7 linked regions of the Mus musculus genome follow. The main gene of each other region encodes a partner of the protein of the gene in region 2 in a complex. Links are inferred from orthologs where the notes say so. Each region holds a gene or a part of one and is shown on either strand. Other genes may lie near its edges. The genes, in order: Lsm3, Usp39, Prpf3, Snrnp200, Prpf4, Lsm2 and Lsm5.

What was found.
Region 1: Usp39 (region 2) and Lsm3 share a complex: the UniProt entries of both Homo sapiens proteins name them as parts of the U4/U6-U5 tri-snRNP complex. The link is inferred for Mus musculus from reciprocal best matches to the Homo sapiens genes USP39 and LSM3.
Region 3: Usp39 (region 2) and Prpf3 share a complex: the UniProt entries of both Homo sapiens proteins name them as parts of the U4/U6-U5 tri-snRNP complex. The link is inferred for Mus musculus from reciprocal best matches to the Homo sapiens genes USP39 and PRPF3.
Region 4: Usp39 (region 2) and Snrnp200 share a complex: the UniProt entries of both Homo sapiens proteins name them as parts of the U4/U6-U5 tri-snRNP complex. The link is inferred for Mus musculus from reciprocal best matches to the Homo sapiens genes USP39 and SNRNP200.
Region 5: Usp39 (region 2) and Prpf4 share a complex: the UniProt entries of both Homo sapiens proteins name them as parts of the U4/U6-U5 tri-snRNP complex. The link is inferred for Mus musculus from reciprocal best matches to the Homo sapiens genes USP39 and PRPF4.
Region 6: Usp39 (region 2) and Lsm2 share a complex: the UniProt entries of both Homo sapiens proteins name them as parts of the U4/U6-U5 tri-snRNP complex. The link is inferred for Mus musculus from reciprocal best matches to the Homo sapiens genes USP39 and LSM2.
Region 7: Usp39 (region 2) and Lsm5 share a complex: the UniProt entries of both Homo sapiens proteins name them as parts of the U4/U6-U5 tri-snRNP complex. The link is inferred for Mus musculus from reciprocal best matches to the Homo sapiens genes USP39 and LSM5.

Annotation. Positions count from the first base shown.
Region 1 is NC_000072.6:91,514,866-91,518,834, forward strand, and holds the start of Lsm3 (U6 snRNA-associated Sm-like protein LSm3), read left to right. Parts: upstream 1-1,169; 5' UTR 1,170-1,192; coding exon 1,193-1,213; intron 1,214-2,182; coding exon 2,183-2,293; intron 2,294-3,969. Other genes in the region: Xpc (DNA repair protein complementing XP-C cells homolog), read right to left, coding at 841-934. UniProt on the Homo sapiens protein: Plays a role in pre-mRNA splicing as component of the U4/U6-U5 tri-snRNP complex that is involved in spliceosome assembly, and as component of the precatalytic spliceosome (spliceosome B complex).
Region 2 is NC_000072.6:72,318,176-72,321,175, reverse strand, and holds the end of Usp39 (U4/U6.U5 tri-snRNP-associated protein 2), read left to right. Parts: intron 1-1,349; coding exon 1,350-1,436; coding exon of another isoform or gene 1,437-1,440; intron 1,441-1,936; coding exon 1,937-1,984; 3' UTR 1,985-2,164; coding exon of another isoform or gene 2,165-2,235; 3' UTR 2,236-2,500; downstream 2,501-3,000.
Region 3 is NC_000069.6:95,845,886-95,849,385, reverse strand, and holds part of Prpf3 (U4/U6 small nuclear ribonucleoprotein Prp3), read left to right. Parts: intron 1-324; coding exon 325-471; intron 472-1,537; coding exon 1,538-1,621; intron 1,622-1,790; coding exon 1,791-2,011; intron 2,012-3,500. UniProt on the Homo sapiens protein: Plays a role in pre-mRNA splicing as component of the U4/U6-U5 tri-snRNP complex that is involved in spliceosome assembly, and as component of the precatalytic spliceosome (spliceosome B complex).
Region 4 is NC_000068.7:127,211,386-127,214,885, forward strand, and holds part of Snrnp200 (U5 small nuclear ribonucleoprotein 200 kDa helicase), read left to right. Parts: intron 1-214; coding exon 215-407; intron 408-963; coding exon 964-1,019; intron 1,020-3,421; coding exon 3,422-3,500. UniProt on the Homo sapiens protein: Catalyzes the ATP-dependent unwinding of U4/U6 RNA duplices, an essential step in the assembly of a catalytically active spliceosome. Plays a role in pre-mRNA splicing as a core component of precatalytic, catalytic and postcatalytic spliceosomal complexes.
Region 5 is NC_000070.6:62,422,283-62,425,782, forward strand, and holds part of Prpf4 (U4/U6 small nuclear ribonucleoprotein Prp4), read left to right. Parts: coding exon 1-18; intron 19-132; coding exon 133-240; intron 241-320; coding exon 321-439; intron 440-935; coding exon 936-1,129; 3' UTR 1,130-3,500. UniProt on the Homo sapiens protein: Plays a role in pre-mRNA splicing as component of the U4/U6-U5 tri-snRNP complex that is involved in spliceosome assembly, and as component of the precatalytic spliceosome (spliceosome B complex).
Region 6 is NC_000083.6:34,980,478-34,984,653, reverse strand, and holds the start of Lsm2 (U6 snRNA-associated Sm-like protein LSm2), read right to left. Parts: upstream 2,801-4,176; 5' UTR 2,572-2,800; coding exon 2,569-2,571; intron 2,525-2,568; exon of another isoform or gene 2,398-2,524; coding exon of another isoform or gene 2,287-2,397; intron 2,035-2,286; coding exon 1,967-2,034; intron 1-1,966. UniProt on the Homo sapiens protein: Plays a role in pre-mRNA splicing as component of the U4/U6-U5 tri-snRNP complex that is involved in spliceosome assembly, and as component of the precatalytic spliceosome (spliceosome B complex).
Region 7 is NC_000072.6:56,701,900-56,706,187, reverse strand, and holds the start of Lsm5 (U6 snRNA-associated Sm-like protein LSm5), read left to right. Parts: upstream 1-1,488; 5' UTR 1,489-1,519; coding exon 1,520-1,565; intron 1,566-2,778; coding exon 2,779-2,874; intron 2,875-3,154; coding exon 3,155-3,182; intron 3,183-4,019; coding exon 4,020-4,092; intron 4,093-4,288. UniProt on the Homo sapiens protein: Plays a role in pre-mRNA splicing as component of the U4/U6-U5 tri-snRNP complex that is involved in spliceosome assembly, and as component of the precatalytic spliceosome (spliceosome B complex).

The sequences.
Region 1 (3,969 bases), about 19 Mb from region 2:
GCAGAGCGCAAGTCTGAGGGGGTTTTAGATAAGAAGACAGAGGCATGAGGTTTTGTTGTTCTACATCCGTTTGGCTGCTAGATGATGACCTGAGGCAGACAGATGAGAGGAAGCCAGAAAAGAAGCAACGTGAAGTTCACTTACTCAATTGTGGACAGGATCTCCAGCTATAAAATTAAAGAGAATTAGGTACAGATTTCATTGGTTCCGAAGCTGACTGGACTTGCTGCCGAACTGGCAGTTAAGAAAAGGTGTGATTTATTGAAATGGAACAACTGGAGGATGGATTTGTTTAAGAGGGAAGATGGAAGTTTTGCTTTGTTCAAGATCTAGGTAAGAAGCGCATTCTAGCCAGGGCGCAGTGGCAGACACGGGTTAATCCTAGCTCTAGGGAGGCAGAGACAGGTGGATCTCTTGAGTTTGAGGCCAACCCGGTCTACAAAGTAAGATCCAGAACAGCCAGGGCTACACAGAGAAACCTTGTCCGGAAAAACAAAGCAACAACAACAAAGCACATCCTAAACTCTGGAGTTACACTGGATGGCAGTCGGGAATTTGGAGAGAGATCTCGCACGCACTAGAGTCTCCCTCCGTCTTGGTTTTGGGGTCTCCTTGAGACACCTGGTAACTGCGAAGCTTTCTGCTGCTCAGCCTTCAACACTTGCTTAGAGGCTGAACTTGGCTCTAATGGTTAACAGAGGGGTTTAAGGCTGATAGCAGAGGCCCTCGGGGACGCCGCGCACCCGGCCGTGGAGACCTTGCCACAGGCGCAGATCCGCTCCGCCGCCCGCACCAGCCTCAGCCACCACTGCCTGGCATGTTGCAGACTCGGCCTCTCACCCGCAACGCTCTCCTCGTGCCGGGCTACTTTGTTGTCCTCGGTTTTCTGGCCCCGCTTCCGCCGCCTTCCGTCTGCGGTGCGCTTTGGGGCCATGCTAGCCAGAGGCGTTCCTCGGGACTACCGCGCAGGACGCCGCAGGTCTCCGCGTGCCCGCCCCGCCCGGAGGCGGGCCACGCCTGGCCGCGCCCCCAGCCCAGGGTAGGACCACGCCCTCGAAGGAAGCCCCGCCCCCATGCAAACTACGAGGGCGCGAAGGGACAAAAATAATATAGTTCGCCTTCAGTGCGTGGCGGCCTAAGGTTTCTGAGTTCCTGTTCCCGCGAGAGGTGGAAAGGGCGCAGCGTTTGAAACATGGCGGACGACGTAGATCAGGTAAGTTTGACCTGAGGCGTTCGAAGAGGAAATGCTTTCGCTTCTCGCTTTTTCCACGCTTCCCGTGGGATGGCCCTTTTCTTTTTTTCCGAGTCACCACGGCCTTCCGTAGCCGGGCCTGCTCCTGAAACCTCCGTAGGCCCAGAGTTTCTCAACCCGCCCGTCTACCCATCGCGCTCGTCGTCGCCCTTTCTCTGTAGAATGAATGCAGGCGGCTGGAGATGCCCATCTCTGGGAGCTAGCTGTCGGGATTCCGACAGAAAGCGGGAGGTCGTAGCAGGACACCAGTTTAGCAATCCGAGTGAACACGGGGGGCACAGGCAGTGGTTCCCTTGGAGTGAATTACGAGGGGAGGTCAGAGGAAAGGTGCAGTTCTAGGAGATGGAGAAACTGCTAGAGATGGAGTATGAAGAAAACAAGCAAAGATCTGGTACACAGGCCAACAGAAGGGCCTACGGGCCTCTGCACCTACCCTTCCCTATTTCTTAGGTAGCTGGTGTACCTTGGCCACCAAAATGTCTTTCACACCCTCACATGCACACACAGCCCCTGCACACACACACACACACACACACACACACACACACACACACGTACGTACGTGCTACCCTACTGTGTTTCTCTCCAGAGCATGTTGTTTTAAATATGTATAGCCCCTGCACACACACACACACACACACACACACACACGTATGTACGTACGTACGTGCTACCCTACTGTGTTTCTCTCCAGAGCATGTTGTTTTAAATATGTATTTATTTAAAGTGTTTCTTCCACAACTAGAGTGTAAGTTCCTTAATGGGGATTTATTGGGGCTGGAGAGGTGGCTTGGCAGATAAGAGCGCTTGCTGATCTTGGAGACAACCCTGGTTGTGTACTAGCACCCACATGCTGCTCTCTCAGCTGACCAGTGATTGAAACACCACCCGGCCTCTGTATCCTATGAGTAAGCCTTTGCCTTTCCTCAGCAACAGACCACCAATACCGTAGAGGAGCCCCTGGATCTGATCAGGCTCAGCCTGGATGAGCGAATTTATGTGAAAATGAGAAATGACCGAGAGCTTCGAGGCAGACTACACGTAAGTCTGTTAAAACATCTCAGAGCCAGAGGCTGCATCCTACCTCCTTACAAATTAGAACTGCAGTGTAAACTTACTTTTTTGAATTTCTTTTGGGAATTGGAAAATCCTTCTATTCACTTTTAAAATATGTTTTCCTTAACCAGAATGGTTTTTTAGAGAGGGGTGGGACTCCGGTGAGACAGAACAAGGCATCTGATCCCCTGGAGCTAGAGTTACAGACTGTTGTGAGCTGCCTGATACGCTCAGGTCCTGTTCAGGAATCCAGTGCTCTTAGCTTGAGCATCTCTCCAACCATAGAGAACACTTTCGTTTCCTTCAGTTTTGTCTTCTGCTTATTTATGAATAAACTTGTTTGTTCTCTTGGGTTTAGACAAGGTCATACTAGAAAACCTGGCTAGCTTCAAACTCCAGCTCCCTCTGCCTCTCTCCTGAGAGCTGGGATTACAGACATGCTCTTCATTCTTGGCATTGTCCTGGATTTTTTAAAGTTATTGGATAGGGTATTTTAGCTTTTGACATATAAAGCTCTGTTTTGTCATGAAAAGAATTAAATAGCAGGCTAGAGATAGTTTGCCTAGCATGCGGCAAAGCCCCTACCCTAGCACTACCCAAAAAAAAAAAAACAAAAACAAAAACAACTTCATAGAAATGGGTAAAATTAAAGGCGAAGTTCCATTTTTCTCTATGTCTGACCACTGTTCAAAGTTGGCTGCATAGTCGTCTGCATGTGTATATGCCACCTGTGTCTGAAGGGGAGCCTAGTGAGGAACGGAGGCATGTGCCATGGTTCCAGTACTTAGAGGACCAAGGCAGGACGATCATATATTTGAGGCCAGTCTGGCCTACATAGTGAAACCTTGTCTCATATGTACACACTTTTTTCACATGTTTTTTGTGTGGAATAATTACACAGCTGACACAACGCCACAGGATACAGGATTCTGTGTCAGACTTCAGTCTCCCCCCCCCCCCCCAGCTATAAAGCTGCAATGGGTACTTTCACAGATATTGCTTGTGCACATTTATATGTCTGAGGAATTGGTCCCATCATTGTGTACTTAAGGTTTTGTCTCCTCTTGTTACTTCCCTCAGGGCTGTTTGTTTACAACAGGAATTGAAATAAGTCTTTTAGTTCAGGCTTAGAAATTAGAAACAACCCTCTACTGACAGTGACAGAGCCACTGTAGGGGACCAGGCCATCCCACTTCAGTCTCAGTCTTAGAAATTCATGTTCTTTCATGAAACCCAAGGATAAAGAATTGATCTACAAGCTGGCCTTGTGGGAACAGCAGTGTCAGTTTGGTGAGAAATGTGGGATGATGCTAAATTGCATGGCACTCTGGTGCACGGAATGATCCCCAGGCCAGACTGTGGCCTCTAACTTGGAGTTGTCTGCAGCTCTTACCTCTGCAGTAACGGCCCAGCTTTCTGTTTCCTCCCTGCTCTCCAGATGAGTTGCTCATTTGTGTAGCTGCCAAGCAGTTCCTTCCCAGTGTGGCTGTTAGGCTATTTTTAATCTTGATATGAGCAGGCAAAAGCGCTTAGCACTTTGTTAGAAGAACATGCAGTGGGTTCTGAACAAGCCCCAGGAGGTTTGCTGTTTAGTAAAAGGAATGAACTTTGGAGATTGCACTGAACACTGCGGTTGAAATCCTTCCTGATTGAGCCCACAG
Region 2 (3,000 bases):
GCTTCAGAGACCTCTATATACTAGAGGCAATGGCTTTAGTTCTGTCTTACTGTTAGATGCTCCCTGAAGCTTTCTGAGGTCCTAAGTGCTGGCCCTGCCCCAGCACGGCCACAGTAGACATTGGTTTTCAACTGGAGTAGAGGCCAGGGATGTAGCCACAGGGTCTACAGTGCTGTTACACCCTTCCTTAAATCCAAGCTATTGATCCTAGTTAATTAGGAAACTGCCTTAGATTATGTGGATGTATAATGAAGTGTTAGGTGCTCTGAGGTTCTCCTGGGGATTCTCATACCCAGCCAGGGTTGAGAACTTGTGTTCTGAGTCAGAGCCCCACCAGCCAGAGTGGTACCATCTTAGGGCTCCTTACAATGGCAGAGTCCCAACCCCGTGGAACACTTCATTATTTAACAAGACCCTTTGATGTGTTTGAAATTTACATTTTGAAGCTTTGTCTTTTTATGGCATCGTTTGACTCTGTAGCCCAGGCTGGCTGAGAACTTGAGGCAGCTCCGCCCTCAGCTTTCTAGGTCCGAGGATCACAGGCATTACTACCATGCCTGGCTGAACTAAAAAAGTTTTTTTAAGAGTGTGCCTAAGCTGAAAACGAAAGCATACACAGGATATTTGTACAAACACAGGATTTAGTGTAGGTTGTTTTAACCTGGTTAATGTCTCTAGGACTAGTGGTTTACTGTCCTTAAAGCATAGCTCTCACACATGAGGAAGCCTAGGCCGTCCTATGCTACTGGCTTCAGTTAAGTCTTCAACTTAACTGAGTTTGTCTGATTTACCATTTTTTTTGACAGAAAAAAAGACATTAGAGATTAGAGGGCTTTCTCTTTTTCCTCTTGAGTGGCCACCTAAATTCATTTCCAGAAGGGTAGAAATGGGTTTGGGGATTTAGCTCAAGTGATGGGGTATCCAGTGTGCACAACACCTTAAGCTTGATTCCAGACACCACATAAACTGGGTGTGGTGACATACACTCTAATGTGCCTGTACTCCAGAGGTAGAAGCAGAGAATCAGAAGTTCAAGGCCGTCCCTCCTTGGCTAAAGAGAAAATCTGATGCTAGACTGGTTATGTGAGGGCACCCTTATATACAAACACAGAGAAAGGACAGAAAGGAAAGCAGAATGTTTGGGACTTCGTTGTACTTCAAAGGCTCCTCCACAGGAATTGAGGTTGCCTGAACTGTTTGTTGAATCAGGTCTAGCCAAGGTTATGAACCATCCTCATGGCTCTTGCTGATGTTTAGTGGCCATTCTGATGTGTCTGTCTCTTGGCTGTGACCATTTTTAACCTCTGATTTTGGAGAGCCATTAACCCAGCTCTTTGTGCTTTGTGCAGGGGACTGGCAAGTGGTATGAATTACAAGACCTCCAGGTGACAGACATTCTGCCCCAGATGATCACACTGTCTGAGGCGTACATTCAGGTGGGTGTGGGCCAACGCAGGAAGTGGAGCTGCTGTAGCCTTGCTTGCAGGGCCCGGTGCTTTGAGTGTAAGGGGATCAGATTGTGTGGCTCCAGAAGCCAGTCAGACTTTCAGAAAGGAAAAGTATGGAAGCCTATCAGTCAGCAAGGAAGCAAAGAAGTGTGTGTGTGACTTGTGAGTTAGCAGAGATCTGTGGCTCTAGTTCTAGGAGATCCAAAGCTGTCTTCTGACCTGTGTGCATTACCAGGCATGCCCATGGTGGGCACATACATACATGCAGGTGAACACGCATACACATTGAATAATAAATAAATCTGAAAAAGGATGGAAGAAAAGTCACGGGTGAGTGGGAAATGAAAATGGAACGAAAGGCGCTGTTGTGGATGGTGCGGATTGTTTTTGAGACTGGCGTGTGTATCGGTGTCGTGCTGTCTGTTTGCTGCACAGAATAGTTACTTGAGGGCTAACTCACTGAAGAGATCACTTTCTATTTCTGACAGATTTGGAAGAGGCGGGACAATGATGAAACCAACCAGCAGGGGGCTTGAACGCCTTGTTGGGTTTTTATTCCCAAGGGCTGTGGCTGAAGATGGTAAATAAAAATACTGAAGCTGTCGCTGAACACAGACTGACTGAAAGATTCCTGCCCCAGTCCAGTTTTTATGGATTCTGGCTGCATCACCATGAAGGAGCCTGTCTGCCCTGATGTTCTGCGCTGTCTCCGGCAGCACGTTGTGGTCGACACTCTTCCCTTTCAGCATCAGCAGGCAGAACTCTTACAGATGGATGCCTTATTTGAATTGCTGCAAGTATCAAAGAACAGACAGTTCGGTAGAAACGTCAGGTCTGGAGACCCTAGGAGTAAACGTGAAGTCAGCAGCAGCCTTCTGTCATAGGTAGTGGCTTTCCTGTAGCTCCCTTCATCTCCTGTGGGACGTGTGCGATGGATTAAATATCCTCCTGTTTTTAAACCAGGCTGTTGTTTCATATACCCCATTGAGGCTTGTTAAGGGTTTTGTTTTCCTTCTTAACTTTATATTATATACTCCTGTCTGTAGTCTGTCAGCTTGTGGGTGGGCACTATCCTTGTCTCTTCCTGTCAGCTTGTGGGTGGTATGTCGTTAGGGGTGTATTTGTCTCTAAGTCACAAAATATCTGGCTAAAATGATAGGTTTTCGTGCCTACCTAGAAGGCTGACAGTGGGTGATTTGGGACTGAGGTTCCCCCCCCCCCCCCCCCGCACCCCCAGGCAGAGAAGTGGAATCATTGTAGCTTGAGCAGGTCTCTGCCAGGCTGATGGGAAGCCCGAGGCAGGGGCTGACTGGCAGAAATGGCTTCTGTCAAGCTCAGTCACTGAAGGGTTGGAGGCCTTGGGCCTGAGATGTGGGCAAGCTGGCACACCAGTGGGCAGCAGGCAGCTCATTACAGCAGCTCTCTTGGAATTGGTTTGTTTCTTTGTTTCTTTCTTTCTTTTTTTTTTTTTTTTTCTTTTCTCTTTTTTAAATTTTAGAGACAGGGTATTGCTATGTCCCTATCTGGCCTCTAGCTTCGCATCCTCCTGTCT
Region 3 (3,500 bases), on a different chromosome or scaffold from region 2:
TTCCTGGAGGAGGTGAGTTTTAGACAGGATTTGTGGGAAGGAGGAAGAGCATTACAAATGTAGGCAGTAGCACTGGCAAAGATCTTGAGATGGGAAAACTTATCAGAACATGGGAATGAAATTTGCTTGAGTGGGGTAAGAGAATGATGAAGTTGGGTGAGATGGTCCACTTGGAGGAGTATCTAGAGACCCTGCTTCTTGCAAGTAGTTATTTGAAAGGTTGTCATATCCCCTGGGAAACCACAGGATGCTGGTAGGGTTGGGATGGTTGTTCCTTTCCCCTAGGGAGGGGTGCAATTCTTCTTTCATCTTGGGTTCCTTTAGGAGGTGTTTGGTGATGACTCTGAGATCTCAAAGGAATCATCGGGGGTAAAGAAGCGGCGGATACCCCGTTTTGAGGAGGTAGAAGAGGAGCCAGAGGTGATCCCTGGACCTCCATCAGAAAGCCCTGGCATGCTAACAAAGCTCCAGGTTAGTTAAAAGAAGCAAAGGGATTTTGTGAGTTGTGGCACCAGGCTCACAGTGATCATGATTTGAGTTTGTGTTAACCATTTGAGGAAGTTTTACTTTTTCCTTTATATTTTAGCAGTCTTTGGTTTGATCAGAAGTAGCCCAGCTAAGGATTATTGACACTGTATTTATTGAGCACCTAGTGTGTTACTTCATCGTTTGCCCAGTTGTCTGCCTCATCAATGTTGGAAAATGAAATGAAATGATAGCACTTAGCTTGACTATATCTTTAGAGCTTCTTTCTGCTCTTCGTTAGAACATAACAAGCATCGAAAGAGGCCTTGCACCATTGCCCATGCATACCTACAGTAGGAATTCAGGGGCTGATAACATGATCATTAACATTTTTAAAGACAAAGTCTTGCTGTTACCCTAGCTGGCCTCAGACTCAGATCTGCCTGCTAGTGCTTCCCAAGTGCTGAGATTAAAGGTGTATGCTACCATGCCTGGCTGATAACCATGATTTTTAAACATAGTATGAATTTTTATGTGCATGCAGGAACCTGTGGGAGTTAGAAGTATCAGATACCCTAGAACTGGTTAGAGATGGTTGTGAGCCACCATATGGATGCTGGGACCTGAACTCAGGTCCTAAACAAGAGTGATTGGTGCTTTAGCTGTGAACCATCTCTACAGCCTCCCTGTCCACTTGAATGTAGGAATGAATGTTAGGAAGTGTGCATGTACTGCTTCCCCTCTTTTAGATTGATGAGAGGTTAAGGTATTAATGCCTTATCCAAAGAAATACAGGCAGAAAGTGTGGTACAGTTCTAACCTCATATTGTCTGAGTCTCAGTCACATATACTACCTAATATATCAATCCTAACATGGGGGGAAAAGATTGAAAAATTCTAGTGCTTAAGGGTATAGGCTTATCTTTAGCAAATTTTCTTGTCTATGGTATAGATAATATATTTATTGTGGAGACATTCACAATCTTTTAGGTCTCTAGAACTGAATGCTTTTTAATTTAGGAACATTTATGGGAGGAAATAATCTTTTCCACCTTTTCCCTCTGGAGAACAGATCAAACAGATGATGGAAGCAGCAACACGACAAATCGAGGAACGGAAAAAACAGCTGAGCTTCATCAGCCCCCCTGCACCTCAGGTATGGTGCCTGATTGCTCGGAAAAGAAGAGTTAGCACAAGGTTGTTGTCATTCATCCACATGAGAGGCCGGAAAGGGCTCCAGTTGTCCACCATAATCTGCCATGCTGTGTATGTATCTGTATGCCTATCACACACTCTCTGATTTCTTTTAATCTCTTGTCTTATAGCCAAAGACACCTTCTTCTTCCCAACCAGAGCGACTTCCCATCGGCAACACTATTCAGCCCTCCCAGGCCGCTACCTTTATGAACGATGCCATTGAGAAGGCGAGGAAAGCTGCCGAGCTGCAAGCCCGAATCCAGGCCCAGCTGGCGTTGAAGCCAGGGCTTATTGGCAATGCCAACATGGTGGGCCTAGCTAATCTCCATGCCATGGGCATAGCTCCACCGTGAGTATCTTTCACACAGTCCCATATCACTTCTAAAAGTTCTGGGGTAGTTATTTAAAGGTAATTTACTTGAATATTACTAACTTTTTTTTAAAAGACGTATTTATTTTATTTATTTTATGTACGAGTACACTGTCCTGTCTTCAGAAACACCAGAAGAGGGCAGTGGATCCCATTACAGATGGTTGTAAGCCACCATGTGGTTGCTGGGAATTGAACTCAGAACCTCTGGAAGAGCAGTCAGTGCTCTTAACTACTGAGCCATCTCTCTAGCCCGTTACTGACTTTTTTAAACTCAAAGAACATTAAATAATTTCTTAAAAGTTTCCCTTTCTTTTTTTGGTTTTTCGAGACAGGGTTTCTCTGTATAGTCTTGGCTGTCCTGGAACTCACTTTGTAGACCAGGCTGGCCTCGAACTCAGAAATCCACCTGTCTCTGCCTCCCAAGTGCTGGGATTAAAGGCGTGCGCCACCACCGCCTGGCAAGTTTCCTATTTTTAATAAATGATTTTAATTCAGTTACATTTTTTGGCTTTATTGTAGTTTGTTGTCTGCTTATAACTGATAGAACTAAAATAATACTTTTCACTTAATAATGGAGGTAAGAATAGAATCAGATTTCTTGGCTTATTACTTAAGAGCTTCAGCCATTAACCAGTATTGGTCGAGACCATATGTTAGATGGGTGGCACATGGTGGTACATGTCTGCAACTCTGTTACTCAGGAGGGAGAAGCAAGAGTAGTGAGGTAAATATGAATCTAGACTAGTCTACCTAACAAGTTCTTAGCAAGTCAGAACTACATAGCAAGACCCTGTCTCGTTTGTGATTGTTCTGGCATCCCAAGACTAATTCAAGAACTTAGGAACAGATGATAGAGTTGCTTCCCATGCATCCCAGTGGTAGAACATCTGCCTAGTATGCAGGAGGCCTTGGGCTCTCAGACTCTTGAACCACCACAAAAGGGGTGGGGGTGGAGGGAAATGACCTGGAAGATGGTTCAATGGTTAAACTACTGGCTGCTCTTCCAAAGGATTCAGGTTCAATTCCTAGTATCCACATGGTAGCTCACAATTGTTTGTAACTCCAGTTCTGCAGGATTCAACACACTTACATAGACATACATGTAGGCAAAACACCAGTGCACGTGAAATAACAACAAAAGAAGCAGGGGTGAGGGTAGGGGTGGAAAGGTGGCTAAGTAGTTAAGAACACTTGCTGCTATTCCAGAGGACCAAGGTTTGGTTCCCAGCACCCACAGGTTGGCTAACAGCCATCTGTAAGTCCGGTTCTAGAGGACTTGAAAATAAATTTTGAAAAAAAGAGAAGAATTTGGGAATAAAATAAGATTAGATAATGGCCAAGTGGTAGTGGTGGCACATATAATTTCAGTACTTATGAAGCAGAGGCAGAGGCAGGGAATCTCTGAGTTTGAGGCTGGTCTGCTTGGTCTACATAATCTGGTCTATATCCTGTAAGTTCCAGGATA
Region 4 (3,500 bases), on a different chromosome or scaffold from region 2:
CAGATCTCCTGGAATTTGAGTTGTGATTTTTCTTTTGAGCCATCATGTGGGTGCTGTGAATTGAACCCAAGAGCAAAAGCAACGCAGTCCTAACTTGTGAGCCACATCTCCAGCTTGTGTAGTTTTGAAGATGCATGCTTCTTTACTTTATATTGTCACAAAGCTGGTCAGTGCCCTTCTACATATTATTGTTGTACGTTGTTTGTATTCTCAGCCTCGAGATATTCTTTGTGGAGCAGCTGATGAAGTCCTGGCTGTGCTGAAGAATGAAAAGCTTCGAGACAAGGAGAGAAGACGGGAGATTGACCTGCTGCTGGGTCAGACAGATGATACCAGATACCATGTGCTGGTAAACCTGGGCAAGAAGATCACAGACTACGGTGGCGACAAGGAGATACAGAATATGGGTACCTGAGCTCTTTGTGTCCAGACCATGTTTTGTGGTTGTTGGCCTTTCTGTTGAATACTCAGCATCTTTGTTAAAATTTTAGAATAGCATTGTTTCCATAGCTTATGTTGTGTTGCTTAAAGAGAATGGTGATCTGCAGGCCTTTTGGCACAGGCTTATCCCAACAAGTCAGCCTGGTTTGCATAGCAAGTTCCAGCTGCAGGGTTCCTAAGCAAAACCCACCTAAGAAGAATAAAGTGGAGAGTTATCTCTTGATGTTTGGTTGTGAGCCTTATCCTTTAGTAGCTGAACTATCTCTGCCACCCTGGCAGCCATTTTTAAATTGAGACCTATTGTGTAGACAGTGAGAGAGAGCAGGGAGGGCTTAGGAGCTGAAGAAGCAGAGCAGGGTAGAATCCAGGTTGGCAGGCTTGAGAGGCCTTGGTGCTTGTTTTCGTGTTGGTTAAGTCTGTGTGTTCTGGCCTGAGAGTAAGCAAGCCAGGCAGCTGAGGAAATGGGCTTGAGTGTCTCCACACTAACCACTGCCCTCTCTTTGTAATCCCACATCTCCTCAGATGACAACATTGATGAGACTTATGGTGTGAACGTGCAGTTTGAGTCTGATGAGGAGGTGAGTGGCTTTAAATGGATCCCTTCTGTTGTGTGATGTTACCAAGGTAGTGGGAGCTCTTCTCATAAACTGAAATTCCTAGCTAAATGCGTTTTACAGTGTTTTGTGGTATACTTACAAATTTTGTGTCATTCTGCTTAAGAAGTTATTGTGGTTCACGTTAGGTTCTTTTAGAAGCTAATCTAAACTAGTAGGTGTACACTGACAGTTTATAATAAACCAGATAGACCAATGAAAGTAGGAAGGAGGACTGAGAAATGCCATCCTGTGGGCACAGTGCAGTTATTGCAATCATGAACTCAAGCAGCTGCACTTACTTACTGTGGGCCTGTCCAAGACTGGCCCTGTCAACACCCAGTCAGAGATTGGGGAGGAGTCTTCTCCCTGCTACCTAACTATTGGTTATTGATAGATTATGGAAAGGGGGTCATTATCTTCAGTCCTGTAACCACTTCTAAGCCTTCTGGTCTCTGATGGTTAAATTCAGTGGGTCACAAATAACACAAGGAGGCATGAGTGTGAGAAACAGATGTGTAGGGAAGAGGAGGCTCCGTGAGGTGTGGGGAGCTGCAGTAAGAGAGCTTGGTATGGGGGCTGGCGAGATGGCTCTGTGGTTAAGAGCGCCGACTGCTCTTCCGAAGGTCCAGAGTTCAAATCCCAGCAACCACATGGTGGCTCACAACCATCTGTAACTAAATGTGATGCCCTCTTCTGGAGTGTCTGAAGACAGCTACAGTGTACTTAAATATAATAAATAAATAAATCTTTAAAAAAAAAGAGAGAGAGAGCTTGGTATGCATTGTGTGCGTGCATGAAATTGTCAGAACCCATTTAATCAATAAAGAAAAAAGATAAAGCACATCTTCAGTGACGTTGTGTCCTGCTGGAGTGTTTTAACCATAGTATAGTAATTCACGGCTTTCGAGTTGTGGGCTAATTGCTAGTTTAAGAATGCATATTCACCTAAGAGTATGGATGTAATTGTACTTGGCTATTTAGCTGTTGTAGCAGCTCCTGGGGTTAAAGCTTGCCACTTCTAGATTATAACTAAATATGAATAGTGGGACAATTGAAAAAGGAAAGTTGAACCAGGAATGGTAACACAGTGCCTACATTCCCAACAGTCAAGAGGTTGAGGCCAGCTAGGCTACATAGTGAAATTCTCTACATGTCTCTTAAGTCATTTTTTTTTCAGATTTATTTATTTTATGTATGAGAACACTGTAGCTGTACAGATGGTTGTGAGCCTTTGTGTGGTTGCTGGGAATTGAATTTAGGACCTTTGCTCTCTCCTGCTCAAAGATTTATTTATTATTGTAAATAAGTACACTGTAGCTGTCTTCAGACACACCAGAAGAGGGCATCAGATCTCATTATGGATGGTTGTGAGCCACTGTGTGGTTGCTGGGATTTGAACTCGGGACCTTCAAAGGAGCCGTCAGTTCTTTTAACAGCTGAGCCATCTCTCCAGCCTGTCATTTTTAAAGTTGGTTACTTTAGAGTTTTCAGTGAGTGAGTTTGTGTTCTGAAAAAGAAAGTACCAGTCCTGAAATGTCCTGGAAGATAAGATGTTACTGGAGTCAGGGTGAGCACTGAACTGAGAGCCAAGGAATCTTGAGTTTGAGCCTGTATCTTAGGCAGGTCATTTTGCCTCGGTTTCTGTTTTAGTAAAACAAAATGCTACTTCCTACAGAATAGTTAATTGGTAGAGTTTTTCTTTTCTCTTCCTTTCTTTCCTTCCTTTCTTTTTTTCTTTCTTTTTTTTTCCAGACAGGGTTTTCTTTTGTGTAGCCTTGGCAGTCCTGGACTAGCTCATTAGATCAGGGCTGGCCTCAAACTTACTGAGTTCCACCTGCCTCTGCCTCCTGAGTGCTGGAATTAAAGGCATGTGCCATCACTGCCCAGCTGTTAATTTGTAGTTTTAATTAGGAACAACCTGATACAGATTTCCTTGCTCGTAGCAATTTATTTAACAGATGTTAATTATTGAACATGATGTTTAAGTCCACAGTCCACAGTTGAGATTATGCAAACTAAGCATGATGTCTACATTTCTGGCTCACAATCTACTTTCCTGTGTATTCGTCTTCATAGCTCCTCCATTAGCCAGTAGTCTTAGTTTGATATTATCTGTGTTTCAGAAGGAGCATATGATCCCAGTGTTTGATATTTGCAGCTAAGGTGAGAAGCAGAAAAGAGGATAGATACATCTAATAAACCCATTCCAAATGGTCATTCCATTGATATTCCTGGAATATGGTTGATACACTATTGGCTTTACCCCAAAGCCGTTGTTCTAAGTATGGAGCTTACTTAGAGTGATAGAAAGCAGGACCTGTATGACACAGGGCCAGTTCTACATCTGTGTTGAGATTGTATTACAGGTAACATTGTCTCCATAGGAAGGTGATGAAGATGTGTATGGGGAAGTCCGAGAAGAAGCTTCTGATGATGACATGGAAGGGGACGAAGCTGTTGTGC
Region 5 (3,500 bases), on a different chromosome or scaffold from region 2:
CTCTTTGGCTGGCACTGGGTAAGACTTTCTCCACAAAGCAAGACCAGGCAGCTTAGTGGTCTCACCTCTTAGGCAACCCCACTTCCTCGTCAGACTGGATTCCGTGTATTCATACAGATGTTATCTCCTCAGGGGACTGGATGCATTTGGCCGGGTTTGGGACCTACGCACAGGACGCTGCATTATGTTCCTGGAAGGCCACCTGAAGGAAATCTATGGGATAAATTTCAGCCCCAATGGGTAAAGCAAACTAAGTGGATGGGAAGGGTCCTGGCCAGACAATAATCTCTGTTCCTAACTATGATACGTCTGATCCTCAGCTACCACATTGCCACTGGCAGTGGTGACAACACCTGCAAAGTGTGGGACCTTCGGCAGCGACGCTGTGTCTACACCATCCCCGCCCATCAGAACTTAGTGACCGGTGTCAAATTTGAGCGTAAGCTTTTCTCTTGTTCTCAGCCTTAACACCAGACACCCTTTGCTTCATGGAATACATCCTGGCCATTAGACTAACTTAGACATGGAACCTTGTTAAGCAAATTTCAGCTTCCTTCCCTCTGCCATACCTATAGACAGCGCTATGGCAAAGCATGCCTTCTTGAAGCAAAGAGTTCTGCGAAGGCTTCATTTCATTTTGTCCTCCATGAATGTCAGGCACTAACTAGATGCTTGCTGTTACTGAACAGACCATCCACCTGGGAAAAGGCAGCCACACAGCCTTCATCTGTTACATGGTTATCCTCAGTCTGCTCATGACCGTCTCTTATCTTGGAGGCCCCTAGGAATGCAGAATGAATGAGTTCAGTTTATCTGAAATCAGAAATAACCTTTCTTTCAAAATAATGTGTTTTGTCGGGTCTTTGTCTTTTTTCTTTTTCTTAAGCTCTTTCTGAATACTTGAGTTCTTCATGTTTGCTTTATGTCTTCTGCAGCTATCCATGGGGACTTCTTGCTCACAGGTGCCTATGACAATACAGCCAAGATCTGGACCCACCCAGGCTGGTCCCCACTGAAGACCCTGGCTGGTCATGAGGGCAAAGTGATGGGCCTGGACATTTCTTCTGATGGGCAGCTCATAGCCACGTGCTCCTATGACAGAACCTTCAAGCTCTGGATGGCAGAGTAGGCCAGACCACGGAAGGACTCAGAACTTGTGTTCTCACGACGGAGCCATTTCCTCAAAGGAAAAGAATTGTATTGTGTTCTATCATGTTTCCTGCCAAATACCATGTGTTGGATTGGATTTTCACATCAGCCCACTCTTGAGGAAGCCTGTCTTTAGGTGGTAGCAAGCCCTTCGTGGTTAGAACAAAATTCTCATCTCAGGTTCTGCCAAAAACTGTAGATGTTGTATAGACTCAACACTTTTCAGTGCCCTGCCTCCTCCCTCACACTCAGGATTGTGACCGTTCTTTCATTTTTGTTTTTTTTATTTGGCATTTTGAGACAGAATCTGTAAGTATATCCCTGACTGTCCCGGAAGCCTTACATTGTAAGTAATCCTCCTGTCCTGCCCTTCGAGTGATGGCATTATGGAAATGTGCTGCTGTGCCTGGCAGTTGTATTTTTAGTGCTTGAACTTGGCTCTCTATAACATGGTATGTGCTTGGGACTACGGGTGATTCAGCAAGCAAGATAGCTGGACTGGCTAGGCAGTGGTGGCGCATGCCTTTAATCCCAGCTTGGGAGGCAGAGGCGGGCAGATCTCTTGAGTTTGAGGCCAGCCTGGTCTACAGAGCAAGTTCAAGGACAGCCTTTTCTCTACCCTGTCTCGAGGAAAAAAGAAAAAAAAGATAGCTGGACTGTATTTGAAATCTCCCCAGTTATGAGGACATGTCACCACCATTTGTGGCGAGCTCCTTTCCTGACGCCGAGAATGAAACCAGAGCCATAGACTGCAGCTGTGTGATAGCTCCACAGTAAAAAAGATTTTCCCTTTCTGTGGTGTTCACGAAGGATGTTCACTGCAGCTGGGACTCAGAACTGCACACTTGGCCTTGTTAGAGCCAAGTTAGAGCCTCTTCCTTTTGGCTTTGAAGTTTGATATCCTTCATGACAAAACAATCTGGCCATTGTATCCAGATTCAAAGGGGTTTTAAAAACAAACATGATGTCTGTGTTGTACAGCCTCCTTCCTGTTGGTTATTTAAAGGGTGTACCTTATGTATTAAAGAACACTTCATGTCAAAGGAACTGGAAAAAATCCTAATTTATGTTTGGGTGTTACCAAACATAAACTTTTATATATAAATACACACACACATACATACATACACACACACACACACTTGCTGAGAGTAAAATCTTACTATAAAAACTCTTTGAAAGGATTATTTTCTATTTCAGCATTTTGTGAACCTAACCATTTGTCCAAAGAGATCCCCTTCTTTAGTTTTGAGATCTAATGTAATTCTAGGCCTGAATTGTTCCACTTTCTGTTACTTTATTCAGATGTTTATTGTGGTGTTTTTTGAGGGGGGAGGAAGTAGCAGGTTTTTGTGACAAAGGGTCTTACTGTGTAGCTCAGATTGGCCTCAGAGTCAAAATCCTCCTGCCTCTGCATCTCAAGTCCTGTAAGTTGTAGGTGTAAGCCATCAGTCACATCCAGACACTAACAGCTTCTTTACGTAGAGTTGTTGGCCCAGGAGAACACCAGGTTTTCAGGTGTGTCTGGGTTCCATAGTTCTTCCTCATCAGTCAGTGATTGGCTTCACCTTGCTGCACTCCAGAACTGCACGGTAAATCCGCACAGAGCAGTAATTTCAGAGAAGGTTGTGTATAGTGTGAAATTCCCTCTCCAGAATTGGAAGTTTACACACCATCGGCTTCCTGTTCTGCCCTGCTCTTCTGTAGATCATGAATATATGGTATATAACAAAACATTTGGGGAGGGGCTGGTTTCTCTGTGAAGCCCAGGCTGTCCTAGAACTCACTGTAGACCAGGCTGGCCTCAAACTCAGAGATCCGCTTGCCTCTGCCTTCTAAGTTAAAAGTATGCTCACCACACCCAGCTAAACATGTGATTCCAGTCATAACCAAGTATATTCCGTATATGTGGCTGTTACGCCATTCAGGCCTTCCCTTCACTTGGCACTTAACCACCCTTAACCTGTTCTATGAAATTACCATTTTCTTGACATCTTACAGTGTTTGTAAAATGATGAGACTGGCATAGAGCCCTGCATTCGGGATCTGGCACATTTGAGTTCTCTGGTCTGAACCTTACTAGGAACTTAATTTTCGGTTGATCCAAGAGAGCATTCGAGTTGGAAATGTTCCATGTAAGCCTTAGGCCGAGCAAGTGTCTGGGGAAGTAATCCATTTCTTCAACCACTGTAAGAAAATAGTGGATTCTGAATGGCAGAACCACTGTCATTTAACCCTACCTCAGTGGTGCATCAGGCACATTAAGAGAATTCATTCTTTTAAGGTTGCTGGGTGGACTTGAATAACTGCTGAATTACCCAGCTGTAAGCAGTGGAACTATGTGAACCAGT
Region 6 (4,176 bases), on a different chromosome or scaffold from region 2:
TTAAGGGATGCACTGCTATCAACACCACTTAGCTAATCATCTTTCAAAGTATTATCATCCTCCAGGATATGAGAGAGGTCATGGAAGGTAACAAAACTTACAACCAATAAACTGAAGGTCAGCCCAGATCTGCATGACTCCCAGAAGCATCAACTATTATTTTTAAAATATTGATTTTTATTATTTGTGTGTATGTGCATGTAGTTACCCACAGAGACCAGAAGAGGGCATCAGATCACTTGCAGCCAGAGTTCTAGGTAGGTGTGAATCACCTAATGTAGTTGCTGGAAACTGAACTCTTATTTTTCAGGGAGAGCAACAAGTTTTGTTTTGTTTTAAAGATTTATTTATTATTATATCTAAGTACACTGTAGCTGTCTTCAGACACTACAGAAGAGGGCGTCTGATGTCCGCTCTCTTTACAGATGGTTGTGAGCTACCATGTGGTTGCTGGGATTTGAACTCAGGACCTTCGGAAGAGCAGTCAGTGCTCTTAAAATCTCTGAGCCATTTCTCCAGCCCCCAGCAAGCTCTTTTTAAAGCACTGAGCAATCTCTGCAGCTTCCCTAACTGTTATTTGTAAACATTTACTGCTTTGGAGTCACAGACCTATGTACACATACTGGTAGCTGGAATTACTCTTTATTATTTTTGCTACACTCTTTTTTTTCTCGTATGAGTTTTTTGTTTGTTTGTTTGGTTTTTTTTTGTTTTTGTTTTTTTTCGAGACAGGGTTTCTCTGTGTAGCCCGAGTGCTGGGATTAATGGCCTGCGCCACCACACCCGGCTTCTTCTTCTTTTTTAAAAAATTGGATATTTTCTTTATTTACATTTCAAATGTTATCCCCCCCAACTTATCTTTAATAATGAAGATACAAGTCAAGTCTTCTCAGTTCTCCAGCCCTCTAGCCCCTAAGCAAGGTTATCAAGGCCAGTGCTCCCATACCACCTTACATGCCCCACCTTATATTATATTTACCCTCTGTGTAACCAACTTTAACCACCTCAGATCCTGAGTTTTACTTCCTCACTCTCTACATCCTATGAATCCCCACAGCTCTGTAGACCATTCGTGTGATTTGACTTTTAGACTATGAAAGGTCTTAGTCTGCACCTCAGTCTGGGCCAGCTTCTAACTTGGCCACACTGGTCAGAACCATCCTGCTGGTCAACCACTGATGTGTGTTCAAAGGTTTCAAGAGTCTACAAATAAAGTTATTTTGCTGGGCGGTGGTGGCACACGCCTTTAATCCCAGCACTCGGGAGACAGAGGCAGGCGGATTTCTGAGTTCGAGGCCAGCCTGGTCTACAGAGTGAGTTCCAAGACAGCCAGGGCTATACAGAAAAACCCTGTCTGGAAAAAAAAAAAAAAGTTATTTTAAAGAGAAACATGAGGGCTGCATATGAAGTTCACTTGTTGAGCATGCCCAGTACATGAAAGAAAACAAAAGCAAACAAAACCCGGCTTCAATGAAACTATAATTTTCGAAGCACTATTAGGAACCAAGTAGACCTTAACGGATGTGACAAGAACCCATAAACATATTTCCAGTGGTACAGCATTTAAGCATTTACCCCAACTCCTGAATCGTTAAGAGCAAATGATACAGCCAGGCAAATCCTAGCACTCAGGAGACAGAGGCATGTGGATCTGTGTGTTCCAGGACAGCCAGGACTACACATACATGTTACTTAACTGTATCTCACTGTGTAACTCCGGATGGCCCTGGACATATGTAGACCAAGCTGTCCTTGAACTCACACCTCTGCGTTCAGTGTTGGGATTACAAGCATGTGTCACAATACCAGGCTCACTCTTAAACTAATCTTTTACACTTAAGACGAAAGGTATTTCTTCTGTGTTTTGCCTACCTACTCTGAAGTAACTTTGTCAACAACAACGACAAAAAGGATCAGGACACCCGGCACCCCCACCTTCCACCAACTCGCTAAAATAAGGACCTACCTCAGGTCATTCTTGAGTTCCACGACTACATCCTTGCCCACAAGAGACTTGAAAAAGGAGTAGAAGAGCTATTGGAAAAGAGGGAGGAACTATCACATGAAAAGGGACGGGGAGGAGGAGCCCGTGACAGTATTTTGAAATACTAGTCTTTGTAGCCCCTCCTAGTAGTTCTCAAAACTTCATAACCAACAACAATCCGTTAAACGGGACTCTGCAGTTCACGGAGCCACGGAGTGACAGGACCTGCGTTGCACCCCTCGACGCTAGAACCCACTCTCTGAGTCGACCACCTCCCAGCTGAGACCGCTTCCCAACCGCACCCTCACAAAGTCCTCGTCAACAGCACAGAAGTGCAAGGCTCGCTTCCCGTTCTCCCCCGGCGCCCGTGGGCTTTCTCTTGGACTTGCTAAAGGTTTCCCCCAAAACACCATCGGCTCCGAGCAGCCTCCTCACACTGGGGTGTGGGCAGTAAGGCTGTACGGAAAACCCTGGGGCCTGGCTGCCGCCCCAAGCGACCGACACGAGTGCCCGCACCCACGCCCGCACGGTTCGAACCGCCCGCCGCGAGCGGCGGCGCTCCCTTTTGACGTCACGGTACCCACCATGGTGCTGGCGCCACGCGGGGCGGCCTGGACCGCGAAGGAAGGCGCCGGGGACTGCGAGCCGGAGGCAGGGCGGGAGCCGGAGCGCGAGCCCGCGCGTGAAGCAAGACTGGATCACGCAGGCGCACGGGGAGCCGCGAAAACCTCGGCTGAATTCAGGCTCAAAGGGAGCGGGGTAGGGCAGAGCCGAGAGGACCGCCAAACCGGTAGAGGGGCGGAACTTCCTGTCCCCCCCACTTCCTCCCGAGCAGCCGCTTTCTCACAAGCGCATGCGTGGGCCGTGGCAGCTGCGCGTTGGACGTAGTTCGTCTCTTTTTCTGATGGTTGTTGAGACTTTTCTCTCTGCCGCGTGATTAGCTCGTAGTCTACGTTTTCTATGGGGAATTATTGGGAAGATTGAGAAAATTATGACTTGCGTATTCTTTAGTAAAATTTAAAATGTTGCTAAGAGCTGGACAGCGTTCGTGCCCAACTGGAATCCTGGAGTTGAGACGGGAGGATTCTGGTTTAGAGGTCAACTAAAGCTATTATAGCAAGACCCTGTGTCAGAGAATAAAATATACACCAATACACACTGGTTATGGTGTGTGTGAGTGTGAGAGAGAAACCGGAACACAAATCCTGATTCTTATCAAAGGTTCCCAGTAAGTAAGTTTCTCTCAATTTCAGTCTTTTGGGGTGCAAAGTTGACCCAGAGCGGACACATTCTAAGCAAAGCAAATGAACAACATCCCAGCTCTAATGTTATATATATATATATAATTTGGCATAGGACTCGTCTGTAAAGGACTAAACTGACTGGAACTCAGTGACAGAAATATTTTACTTTATCTTAGCTTTTTTTGTGTGTGTTTGACAGTTTTTGCCTGTATGTTATGTCTGTACTACATGAGTTCCTGGTAGAAGAGAGGGCTTCAAATGCCCTGGGCCTGGAGTTACAATGGTGAGCCTCCTTGTGGGTGCTGGCAATCAAATCTGGGTGTTCTGGAAGAGCAACAGATGCTTGTAACTGCTGATCCATCCCTGCATTACTGAAATATTTTCAACTAGATCACCGACAGATACTACTTTGGATGTTCTGGGAACAGCATTACCAGGCTTGTAACATGCTGGTTGTGAAGGAGTTCACAAGAGCTGACTGATTTAAAAAAAAAACAAAAAACTAGAAAAGCCTCAGTAGGCAAGTTCCAGAGAAGAAAGAGATGGTCTGAGATGAAAGGGCTTTGTTGTTATTTCGATTGACTTGTTTTATGTAAGTATGCTGTGGCTTTCTTCAGACATCCAGAAGAGGGCATCAGATCCCACTACAGATGATTGTGAGCCACTCTGTGCTTGCTGGAAATTGAACTTAGGACCTCTGGAAGAGCAGTCAGTGCTCTTAACTGCTGAGCCATCTCTCCAGCCCTATTGTTTTTTTTTTTTTAAATAATTACATTAAGTGGGAAGTTGCTAGGTTGTATCTTCTGTGGATATCATGTCTGGATAAATAGGGAAACACTTTCTATTCTGTCTTCTCTTCTTGAGGCTGGCTGTAGGTGCAAGGCAGTCACGGGACACAGGTGAAAATTCTGAGAGTCTAAACCTGCTGATTGCAGGGTGGAATTCTCT
Region 7 (4,288 bases), about 16 Mb from region 2:
GGTTTAAAGACAAGATCAACAAGAGAAGCTTGGAGTGACACACATCCACTGCACACAATGTTTCCTTTTCTCAGAATGCGGCTTTTGCCTCTTCTCTGCTTACCCATTCTTAGTCACTGTGTGAGAAGACTCCCAACAACTCCTCAGTTCTTCAAGCTGTGGCCAAGGGACAGTGTTTTAACTTGTTTTAAGCACAAGGAACTTAATCCTGACTCTTACCTCAAAAGGATGGCTGTCAAGTGTGTTTGTAATTGCCTTGGGACCTAGTAGATCTGTAAGACTTATAGATTGGGCGTGGAGGAAAAAAAGCCACCACTGGCTTGGAATTGAGAATGGAGCTGAGTTTTCATTGCTTTCCATATTAAATCCCATAGTGCTGTGCACATGAAATGTACTATTTGTCCTCCTTCCCACTCTCTTGGTTGAAGACTTTTCTGAACATTGTTTTATGTATCCAGCAAGCTGCTAGTCAAACAATATTCCACTGATATGTTTTTTCAATGGAGGAATGAAGGGTGCTCATCTCTCATATTTAGGCTGTTTGGTTTTAAGTCTGTCACATGAGATGGACAAAGGCAAAGTATTTATCTGCTTTAACAACAACAACAACAACAACAACAACAACAAAACAAGCACGTAAACGAACAAACAAAAAACACTAGGGCCCAAACTCCGGGCCTCATGAATGCTAGGAAAGTACCCTATAGCCAAGCTACCAGCTAGCCCTTGTTAGTTTTAATTTCTTATTTTGTGTCGGGGTCTAAGAGGGCCATGCCTGCAACAGATGCCTCCTTTTGTCTCTCAAGTGTTGGGTTTACTGGCCACTCCACGTTAAAAGGGGGCTTTTTAATCTTTTCCAATGCAGAAGTGTGATAGCAAGGTTTCCAAACATGATGGAGTCAACATACAGAGTGACATCTTACGGTTGCCTGCAAATTGAAAACTGATAGTGACTTTAATGCCTGTAATAAACCAGACACCTAGAAACGACAAGAAGAAATTAAATAATAGTAGAAGTTTTTTGTTTGTTTGTTTGTTTGTTTGTTTTTTCTAAAAAAAAAAAAGCTTGTGAAAAATGCTGCTTTATAGACTTTCAGTCCTCTGGCCTTAAAAGTACCAGATTCCTTAAAAAAAAAAAAATGAGTAGTTGTTGAGGAGCATGCAGAACGAGTTTATAGTAGGAAATATAAATTGATTTTATTGCTCTGAAGAAAGATACAGGCTTGAAATGCAACCTTCTAGAGGAAAATTAACCGACTCAGAGATCTCGTATGCTGGTCTTCCGGCGGCAAATTATCTCTGAAGTTTAGCAAAACTTGGGGGTACCATAGGTGCCTGTTGGGTTGGTGGCAGGGATAGAGATCCGAACCTCTCTATCGAATCTGTCTGCGATCCATTGGGATCCTCTGGATCTCAAGATCGGCTTTGGATTAGTCTTGTCTGAACCAGCTGTGGAAAAGGGCGGAAGCGCGCAATTTTAAAGTCTGCGCCGGTGTCCTTAGCCACTTCCGGCGTGGCCATGGCGGCTAACGCGACCACGAACCCGTCCCAACTCCTGCCACTAGGTAAAAGTCTTGTTTGGGGAGCGGTCGGGTTGCTGCAATTCCACGCTGGGGGCCGAGGCTGGGCCACCGCCCCTCCGGGCCCGGCTGTCCGGTCCTTGGCGTCACTGGGCAGACAGACAGACCGTTTTGCCTGTCGGTGGTCGGTGAGGGTCCCACTTAGTGAAGGACGTGCTCGGCCTTTTTGAGCTCGCCAGTAAGATGTCATGAGTCGCGCAGTCCCAGTTCTCAGCTTGGCCTTCTTGGTCTCCAGATCAGGTAGACCCTGTATTGGCTTGGGTAAGGAGTGCGCCACGGCATACAATGAATCTTACAATAGAAATCTGGAAACTAGCCCCGTCGTTCATTAATTCAACAAGCAATTCCCGCGCAGTGCCAGAGAACTGTTGAATAATGAACTTGAATTACAGCCATTGCTTTCAAGATCGCACACCGGCACGCATCGTGCTGAGCAATTCTAAGATGCTGAGATGAACAGGTTGGCCCAGGAGCACAGAGAGTTAAGGTTAAGTGAGAGAAGGAGTGACGGGAAAGCCGGTGTCTGTAATAATGCTTCTCCCTTGTCATGTTTTGGGGCTGGTGAGCTTAGTGAATGTGTCTGTGATTGAAAGTTTTTGCAGTGTTAGATATTGTTTATCGGTACAAACACTGATGAAGAAAAACAGTTATGGTCTCCACCCACCTCATGGTGTGTGTTTTCATACATTAATCAAATAATCTAAATAAAAATCACAGTCCTATTAATTGCAAATAAAGAGTTAAGTGAAAGCTAAGGCAAACATTTGTGCTAACGATTAAACAGAGATTTGTGTAAGATGTAAAATTACCGAATGGTTCCAGATACATATGTAGGAGAGTATGGCCTTTTTTGACATCATTGGGAGGGGAGGCTCTTGATCCTGTGGAGTTTGATGCCACAGCATAAGGAGAATGCTGGAGTGGGTGGGTGGGTGGGGGAGCACCCTCATAGAAGCAATTGGGGAGTGGGGAGAAGGTAGATATGGGAGGGGTGTTGTGGAGGGGTAACCAGGAAGGGGGAATATCATTTGAGATGTAAACAGATGGAATGATTAATAAAAGTAAGTAAATAAATAAATAAATAGCAAAAAACTGAATGTTTTTGCTTATCTTTAATGATAAAAAATAATAAGTGAAGTAGGCATTCAAATGTTGGTCGATCTAATAAGTAGGTAAAATTACCCTTTTCCTTCCACAGAGCTTGTGGACAAATGTATAGGGTCAAGAATTCACATTGTGATGAAGAGTGATAAAGAAATTGTCGGGACACTTCTAGGATTTGATGACTTTGTCAGTATCCTTTTTAAAAGCGGGAATGGTGTAGGTTTCTAAAGATGTATTAATATAAGAAAGAACTATAGACAACCGAAGAATTTCTGGTTATTACATTAAGAATAATTTTGTTTTCCAGGAACTTGGTAGTATTTTAAGAGGTGTGTTTGCTGACAGTTGATAGGGCTCTTGCCAACAACAAACCTTTTGAATTTGCACTATCATAGTGTTGAACATATTTTAAACCAAACAAAAACATATACCTGAATAAACCTTATTTATTTTCTTAACATTAAATTCAGATATGGTGTTGGAAGATGTCACAGAATTGTGAGTAGTATTTAAAAAATTAAAAAAATTTGAGAGGAGGGGAGGAAATCTCTTTTTAATTAAAGATGGTGCCTTGATTACTTTTTTCTATTAATGTGAAGAGACAGCATGACAAAGGTATCTTATGGAAGAATGCGTTTAACTGGGGGCTTGCTTACAGTTTCAGATGGTTAGAGTCCCTGACTGTCCTAGCTAAGAGCTTATATGTTAGATAATAACCAAGAGAGAGAGAGAGAGAGAGAGAGAGAGAGAGAGAGAGAAGTAAATAGAGAACGCGAGCGCACTAAGTGGGTATAATTTAGGTTTTTGGAATCTCAAAGCCTAACAGGGTGATACACCTCCTCCAAAAAAGGCCACACCTCCTAATCATTTCCAGTTTGCCAACAGAGGACCAAGTGGAGGCCATTCTCCTTTAAACCTCCATAGCAGCTTTAGTATGATCGATATAAAAAAAATTACTTGTTGGAAAATACCTTAATACTGAAACGTTATTTACTGGTGTTTGTGAGGTCCAGTTAAAGGATTATTATCTTCATATTATTCCTGAATTTGTAAGAAATTAGTGTGAACAAGCTTTATGGTGAATTATATTTACATGAGTATTATCCAATGGGCAGTTTGTATTCTGTATATATTTACTGTAATTATATGCGTTCACATTGAATCATGTGTAAGAATAACAGCTTTGTCACTAGGGATTGAACCCAGGGCCTTGTGTGTGTGCTCTGCCACCAAGCTATTCTCCTTACCCCAGTAGGACTTTTAGGGAGGGAAAGTGTTTCTAATACTGCCTTTGATTACTTGTTTATCCAGACTCCATTTAATCTATCTTTTTAGTGAAATTACACCAGAAGGAAGAAGAATTACAAAATTAGATCAAATTCTACTAAATGGAAATAATATAACAATGGTAAGACATTAAAACTTTTCTCTGGAAATTATTTTACTTTTGTAGTGTAGGGATTATGGAACTGACTTAAACTTCTATTTCGTTGGCAATGTTCATGGCACTGAGATAGACACACTGAGGATGGGAAGGGAGCCTTGGTGATCTGTGCCTCAGGGCAGCTGTTGAAAGTGCTTTGGTCCTTGTCTTAGTCAGGGTT